2 linked regions of the Xenopus tropicalis genome follow. The protein of the gene in region 1 purifies or fractionates together with the protein of each later gene. This does not show direct contact. Links are inferred from orthologs where the notes say so. Each region holds a gene or a part of one and is shown in the gene's direction. Other genes may lie near its edges.

The links.
Region 2: the proteins of socs6 (region 1) and cul5 purify together in Homo sapiens (affinity purification with mass spectrometry; 5 studies listed by BioGRID and IntAct, counting the BioPlex papers as one, with this or other methods). This does not show direct contact. The link is inferred for Xenopus tropicalis from reciprocal best matches to the Homo sapiens genes SOCS6 and CUL5.

The regions. Positions count from the first base shown.
Region 1 is NC_030682.2:101,218,874-101,223,199, reverse strand, and holds the start of socs6 (suppressor of cytokine signaling 6), read left to right. Parts: upstream 1-1,234; 5' UTR 1,235-1,336; intron 1,337-4,326. UniProt on the Homo sapiens protein: SOCS family proteins form part of a classical negative feedback system that regulates cytokine signal transduction.
Region 2 is NC_030678.2:159,951,762-159,955,586, reverse strand, and holds part of cul5 (cullin-5), read left to right. Parts: intron 1-1,528; coding exon 1,529-1,636; intron 1,637-2,437; coding exon 2,438-2,502; intron 2,503-2,826; coding exon 2,827-2,959; intron 2,960-3,564; coding exon 3,565-3,696; intron 3,697-3,825. UniProt on the Homo sapiens protein: Core component of multiple cullin-5-RING E3 ubiquitin-protein ligase complexes (ECS complexes, also named CRL5 complexes), which mediate the ubiquitination and subsequent proteasomal degradation of target proteins.

The DNA.
Region 1 (4,326 bases):
AGGAAAGTCTCCCATAGGGCTCAATGGCACTCTGCAGCTCCAACCCGGCCCAAGGAAAGTCTCCCATAGGGCTCAATGGCACTCTGCAGCTCCAACCTGGCCCAAGGAAAGTCTCCCATAGGGCTCAATGGCACTCTGCAGCTCCAACCTGGCCCAAGGAAAGTCTCCCATAGGGCTCAATGGCACTCTGCAGCTCCAACCTGGCCCAAGGAAAGTCTCCCATAGGGCTCAATGGCACTCTGCAGCTCCAACCCAGCCCAAGGAAAGTCTCCCATAGGGCTCAATGGCACTCTGCAGCTCCAACCCGGCCCAAGGAAAGTCTCCCATAGGGCTCAATGGCACTCTGCAGCTCCAACCTGGCCCAAGGAAAGTCTCCCATAGGGCTCAATGGCACTCTGCAGCTCCAACCTGTCCCAAGGAAAGTCTCCCATAGGGCTCAATGGCACTCTGCAGCTCCAACCTGGCCCAAGGAAAGTCACGATACTGAAGCTTGAATGAATAATTAAACTTTCGTACTTGTTGCAACAAATATGATTTTGTCGCACAAAATTGATGCAAAGTATGAAAAAGTAGCAGAAATTAACGAAAAAATTTTTTTTTTGTAATCGTACCTATTTGGACTTTGTTAAATCAGCCCCTTAGGGGCAGATTTAGCAATATTTGAGTTTAGAGCTTAATACATAAAAACTCACCCATGTTCTATTCATTCCTATGGGACTTTTAGAAATGTATTTATCAAATGGTAAACTCTAACTTTCACGCACTTCAAAAAATCCCATAGGAATGAAGAGAACATGGGTGAGTTTTTATGCATAAAGCTCTTAACTCACATTTTGATAAATCTGCCCGTCTAGCACAGAACACAATTACTTGCGACCAATCGAGCTGAGGCTTGGGTGGCAGCAATCTTTGCTGGAGACTGCCACGAAAGAAACCAGAGCATACTAATTTTTGTATTGAGAAAATGTATCTCACGCCCGCACCCTGACGCACCTACTGACTGTGTACGCTATACTATAGCTATACACTATACTATACCTATACACTATACTATACCTATACACTATACCATAGCTATACACTATACTACAGCATCCTTCCTTAGCATCCTTCCTTAGCAACCCACCTCCGCCCCTCACCTCAGACGTAAACGTGCCGCGTCGCCGCGTTTTTATACGTACGGTCGTGACGCCTCAGTCTCGCGAGATGAGAGTTGTGACGTCGGGGGTTAGCTGTCCGGCAGGAGCCAAGGAGCTGGGCATTAACGGCGTTGTGGGACGTTTAAGCTGCGATCCGGGACTGCGGGTTGCGTTAAGAACATCGGCACTGTTGGGCGGTATGGAATTGTACTTTAATAACAACAGAAATGCCAGACGTTCCATAGTCATCCTCTTTGTATTGCTACAGCTTTAGTGGGGAATACATTGTTGTTCATATCATTAAGTGCCTTACTTTAAGCAAAAACATTGTTTTTGGCATTACCTTTTGTTTGTTCTCTATGTTTTGTGTTATTGAGAGAATTGCAGTCTCTTGAGCTGAAGTTTCGCCATGGGGTTAGTTGTTCCTGACAATGACACTTCTATAGGCCTAAAAGCTTGCAATCCCCATGAGAATGGAGAATGGAATGGAATAAAAGCCTTATACGTAGGCAGGGGATGAATAAGGGACACGTCTGGCAGTTGGTTATATGAAATAGTTACATTTAGAGGTATGTAAAGTGTAAGCTCTGCTGACTGAGGGGGAGCTAAACAATACATACATATCAAGTAGGACAGTTATTTGAATTGCTCATATTTATCCTATTTATGACTTTTATTATACTTGGGTGCCATGCATGGGTCAACGAAAGTTGCCTACTCGCCCCCTACAGACCAGAGCAGCAGCTTTTTGGCCCATGCCGATAGCCTGCCCACCAACACACAGCCAAAAATCATCCAGGTATTATATCAGGCAGATGTGAAAATCCAGTAAGATAAGGACTGAATTGGCACATTGATGCAGTCCTCTGCCAATGGTTTCCTCAAGCCACCATTATGATTTGATTGTTTGCCCATTGACAAAACAATTGGATCATCCTGTGTCATCCCAGTGTGTTGGAGATGAAATGGCGAAAGTTCCGCTTGTTTAGTAACGTTGCCATATTATAGTGCATTCCCAGCTTAAAGGAAAACGAAAGGCAAAATCACTTGGGGGTGCCAAAATGTTAGGCACCCCCAAGTGACTTTAACCGCTTACCTCGTACCCCGAGCTGGTGCCCCTATTAGGAGAAAACAGCACCAGCCCGGGGTACCTGGAGCGGATCGCTTCCTTCTTCTGGCTTCCGTTGCTGAAATGCCAGCGGTGGGCGCATGCGCAGTAGAGTGATAAGCCGACTTTAATGTTTAAGTTCGGCTTTTCACTCTACTGCGCATGCGCGCGCAGCGAGTCAGGAAGAAGGAAGCGCCGGCAGCTACCCCGGGCTGGTGCTGTTCTCTCCTCACAGGGGCACCAGGTAGGTGGGCAAAGTCACTTGGGGGTGCCTAACATTTTGGCACCCCCAAGTGACTTTGACTTTCTTTTTCCTTTAACCCACTCTTTCTTTACTACTGTTCCTGTCTGTGTGTATATGCATGGGTTCTTTATGAAGATCCTACAACCTTTTTACTTACATAGAGGCCCTCATCTTCGCTAAAAAATTGACAGTACTTGAGATACATGCATGAAAGCAGCTTCCACATGAAACTCATCTAAACCTTAGTTGGGGTATATGAAAAGTACTATTGCCAACAGTTGAATAGTTTTTAGTACTATAGGCTCCCTTATGGTATTCGATTGTGGGACTCCGAAGCTGTCATCTTGGCAAAATATTTCCTTTTGATTGATCCCTAATTAAATCCTTTTTTATGTGGCTTGACACAATTGTAGTTCTGTCCAGCGCTGCCTTTATTGTTGGTAAATTTGTGAGAGCGAATGTGAATGAATGTGCAAGCTATAGGAAGTGGGAGATTGGGCTCACACTGCAAATGGGGAGGGGAAGCCAAATCAGTGCGACTTCCAAAAAAATTTGAGGAAGTTGACAAGTTTCTGTCTGTTGTTAATGAGTGTGTCTTTCACATGGTGCACCATGTTGCTAATAATCTGTACCTATAGGATCCCAACTGGAGATGTAAATACCTGGTTATGGTCTACCCACTGACTATAGGCGCTGCTAATCTTTGTTAAATGATTTATTAATATATATAGTTTTACTTCTTTCTTTTAAAGTATTTGTATGCATCAGCTACTGCATTGCTACATTTCCAGTGCCCAATATGTATGTATGTATTTCTTTATTTATAAAGCGCTACTTATGTACACAGCGCTGTACAGTAGAATACATTAATACAAACAGGGGGTTATTAAGATAATAATAGATAAATACACAGTATAACAATAAATGCAAATAAATAAATACAAGATACAGTTGGAATAAGTTAAGAGTCAAAGACACAAGAGGATTGAGGTCCCTGCCCCGTAGAGCTTACAATCTAGATAACAAGCTAAAGGAGGAACTGAAACAGTAGTGGCACTACTGGAGTTGTAGGAGTATTAGTAGCCATTGAAACAATGGTGAGACTACTTGGGGGGAGCGAGGATGAAAGTACACCCCTTCTATGGTGTCCTCTGGAGATACCATGGCTCGCAGACGATAATGGGTTCTTGTACAGATGGGAAGGGAATTGGATCTTCGTGCAAATTTTCTACCTAGGACCAGACAAAAGATCCTTCACACACATGCACACACACACGGACTTAATGCAAAAAGAAACAACTTGCAGCGCAGCAGTAAAGTGTGACTGATGTTTATTAGAGCACAGGTCACACACCCTGGGAAATGAAGAACATGGCTGGCCCATGTGAAATTTCAAAAATAAATCTTAAAAAAAATCTGTTCTTTTAAAAAGTGGATTTCAATGCAGGATTCTGCTGGAGAAGCTCTAATAACACTTCAGACTTCAAACTACAAAACTTTCCTAAGTGTAGTGTTTTTTTATGGTTTTTCTAAAAATTGTCATTAAATTTGATACATTTATCTTGCGTTTCTTACATACAAAGATAAAACACCAGGAGTTTTCTTAACCACTTGATGTCAAATATGCATAGGCATATCAAAGTATGTGGCCTGTAGCACCCCCAACATGAAAATCCCCCTGCTTTCATGTTGTGTCACAAGACACCGGATAACCTTATATTTTTTGGAAAATGCATGTGTTTGTGTGCAAATATGCCCAATAGTGTGAAAATGAAAATAAGCAAAAACATAAATAAATAACATTTAAAGATGTGTATTTTTGTGTATACATGTGT
Region 2 (3,825 bases), on another chromosome or scaffold:
ATCACTTTCTGTTTATTTACCTTTACTCCAACTATACATGTAATCCAGTTCTGAGTCACCCTTTGCACTCACCCTAGATGAAGTGCCTGTACTGTAAGGATTTGCATGTAAGCAGCACTCTGTGTTGTTGCTTCCTGGGGTGATGTGCATCCCAGTGTCTGAAAGGCACAGGTCAAGTCATGCTTTATAATAAAACCCCTTTATACCAGTTTAATCCCCTGCAGAGGCTCCCTCTTGAACCACACCATCTACACACCAAATACAGCTTTGCATGTTTGAACCTCATAATAAATGGCAGAGTAGGGTAACAGGGTTGGCTCTCGCCATGTCTGAACACTGTTGGTAATTTTACCTACCAGAACCTTATCTTTTACAACAAGACTCGGAGATAAGGTGGTTAGCAGAAACGACTGCTATAATGTAAAAAACAAAAATAGTATTGGAAAGCATTCAGCCACCCAGCATGAAATGTATCACAGAAGGCTTCAAATGTGACTTTGCAAGTCACAGCTTTTTATAGGCTCCTTCTTTATTATTTAGATATTTGCAAATGGCATGACATGCACATAGTTACTTGTCAGAGGTCCATAAACATTTTTACCCGTGAGCAACATTTATGTAAAAAAAAAAAGTTGGGGGCTGTTATTATGGTTGTTGGGTTGTCTCAGGTGACACCTGTGGGGGTTTCAGGCTGGTTCAGACTGGCAATATGTGGATTTTAGCAAATGCCAGAGGGGCTGCTGTAAGATGCGATAGACAGTCATTATTTATTGGGCTGGTGTAGGCCATTTGCAACTCTGTATAGTTGTAATACCAAGGCTTATTTTGAGTCTGGACCTGGACTTAGGTGTCCCTTCAGAACTTACCCATCATCAGTGAGTGTCCCCAATACCACTGGACCCCCTCTCTCTGGCAGAGATTGCCAACTAGTAGCAAGAACATTTAAAGCCAATATGGCCTTGGCTTTAACTGCACATACCACTTTAATCCCCAGCAGAGGGCCCTACCAAACCTCACCATCCACACACTTCAATACAGCCTTGCTTCCTTAGACCTTACAGTAAAAGGCAGTGCAGCACAGCAGGGTCAATGGCTGCCATGTCTGACCACTGCATGCCAACCAGGACTGTGTGCATTTGAAACTGATATGGTCCTGGCTTCCGTTGTGCATACTTTTGTCTGCTGGATATCAAGGGCAGAGGAAGTCAGTCTGTCATACATGAGGCACAGGGGAGCAGGGCCATATTGGTGTTGGTTGGGAGGTGTGGGGGGGAGGGAGGCCTCTGCAGGTGAAAAAAAAAATGGTACAGAGGAGATTCCTTCCCCCTTACATTAGAATGTTACCCTGCTTCACATAAACCAAAATGAATTAATACTCTAGATTTAACATGGTGTAATGCCACTTTATGTGCCCCGCCCCCCACACTCACATAACTGCTTTGCTGTTGCACACTGTTTTCTGCATTACAACAAAAGAAGGGTTTCTTTAGTACTAATACCATGCTTTTTTTTGTTTACTTGTCTCAAGGATTCTGAAAAATATGTTGAACAATTACTGACCCTGTTTAATAGATTTAGTAAACTAGTAAAAGAAGCCTTCCAGGACGATCCACGGTTTCTCACTGCACGAGATAAGGTAATATAACATTTTTTAGTATTACATTTTATTGTTGTTTTACGTAAATGTTGAGTATGTTGGCCCAACATATATAAAGGTAAAATAAATCCACTTTCTAAAGCTATTCCATTACTTTTGAAGGCATTGCTGGGCACAGAAAATAATTTCTATGGAAATTAGAATTTGTAAACAGAATTGAGAGCAACAGTGGTTGTGTGGCCAAGCTTCCAATAGAGTAGCACCATGGTCCTATTACTGACATACCAAGTATTCATTGGCTGGACTGTATAAAAATGATGTTGTACTGAACCGTCTATTTCATGGAGGGGGAGAGTAAAGAGAGATACAATTAAAACATAACTTTTATAGATGCATACATGTAGATATATGTGCAAACAATTTAACGTCTGTTTTTGTGGCAATTTGATTTACAGGTTAATGACGTTTAATTGAAATAAATATGTGATACTGTTTCTGCATTTTGTATGATAATAGGTGCTCAGTGGACCCATTCTAGCTCGTTAATCTCAGTTGTGCCCTATAATAGGTATATAGGTTCTTTGGGATGAGATTTATATTATGGACAAAGAGAGAAAGAGGGTGTCACCGAGATAAGGTCAAATCTGAAAGAAAAATTGTTGCATCTTTAGAGAAGCTGTTAATATATGTACTGCACAAATATACATACAAAATAAAACCTGGTGTAATCATTGCATTGGACTTCAGAGATCTGTGCCAGTGTGCCAATTCAATAAATATTACATTTCTGCCAAGCATTAAGTGTCCAGTTTAAATTTTCCCTGTTTCCCTTTATTTCAGGCATACAAAGCTGTTGTAAATGATGCAACAATATTTAAACTTGAATTGCCACTAAAGCAGAAAGGGTAAGTCACATGTGTCTTTAATTGTTATTCTCTTTGATTTATATATTTCTCAGGCTAAATGATTTTGTGTTATACTTATTTATAAGGAACAAATTAAGAATAGCTGGGAGAGGCGAGGGCTGTCGTGATAGATCCTCAGACAAGGGTAGAGATAAGGGCAGGGGTTAGAAATAAATTGATGTACAGGTAAGGTTCCATAGTACCTCTTCCCATTATGACAATATAATGTATATTATTTTGGTAGGAGCATCCTGGATCTATAAATCCAAAATGTGGTGTTAGTAACAATCATTATTCTTATTATGGGATTCTTTCTCATTTAAGGGTGGGTCTGAAAACACAGCCGGAGTCCAAGTGCCCAGAGTTGCTCGCTAACTATTGTGATATGTTGTTACGGAAAACGCCACTCAGTAAGAAACTGACTTCTGAGGAAATCGAGGCAAAGTTGAAGGAAGTGGTATGTACAGAACACATTTTGTGTCCTTCTTACACTATGATTTGGGCTTTGTTGCATTCAAAGGTAAATGGTAACCTTAACGTTATTCAGCATTTGGCATCTGATGAGCAGTACACCAGCTTCCTTCACCTACCGGGCTCTGTAGGACTAAGTAGGCTGTATAGAGACTGAATATGAAACAGCAGAAACTCAACTTACCTTTTAGGCAAACCAATTAATTCACTAAGGCCCCCAGACAACAGCAAGCTAGTGGCACAGATGCTCATAGCCGCAAAAACTCTATAAGAAAATGACGTGTCACCCTTCCCAACTCAGGCTTGTTATGAAGGAGAGAGATCTTTCTCTGATATGTGTAAGAGGGGCTGAAACCAATCATTATACAGCAGGTTAAGAGATGGTGTTGGTTACAACTGTGCTATACTGCAGAAAACCATAGAAGAGCTACACCCTTGATGTAACACCAATAGACCGATAGAATTGAATGACAATGGGTTAAACTCAATTTACATGTTCTTTTCTGATTTCCTACCTGTAAACATATTTGGAATAAATTAATTACTGGAATAAAAAAAAATATAACGGACTGTATTTGTTTTCCCCTGCAGCTGTTGGTGCTAAAATATGTGCAGAACAAGGATGTGTTCATGAGGTACCACAAGGCTCACCTGACACGCCGCCTCATTTTAGATATCTCCGCCGACAGTGAAATAGAAGAAAACATGGTGGAGTGGCTCAGGGTAACTATCACTTGAGCTGTTCAAACTGACATTAGACAGTGCCCAAACAGTGGGCACTGTAAATGGAGCAAGTTTAGGGAAACCCATAGTAGACTGATTGCAGGTAGCTAGTCGCTGGTAAAGTAAATA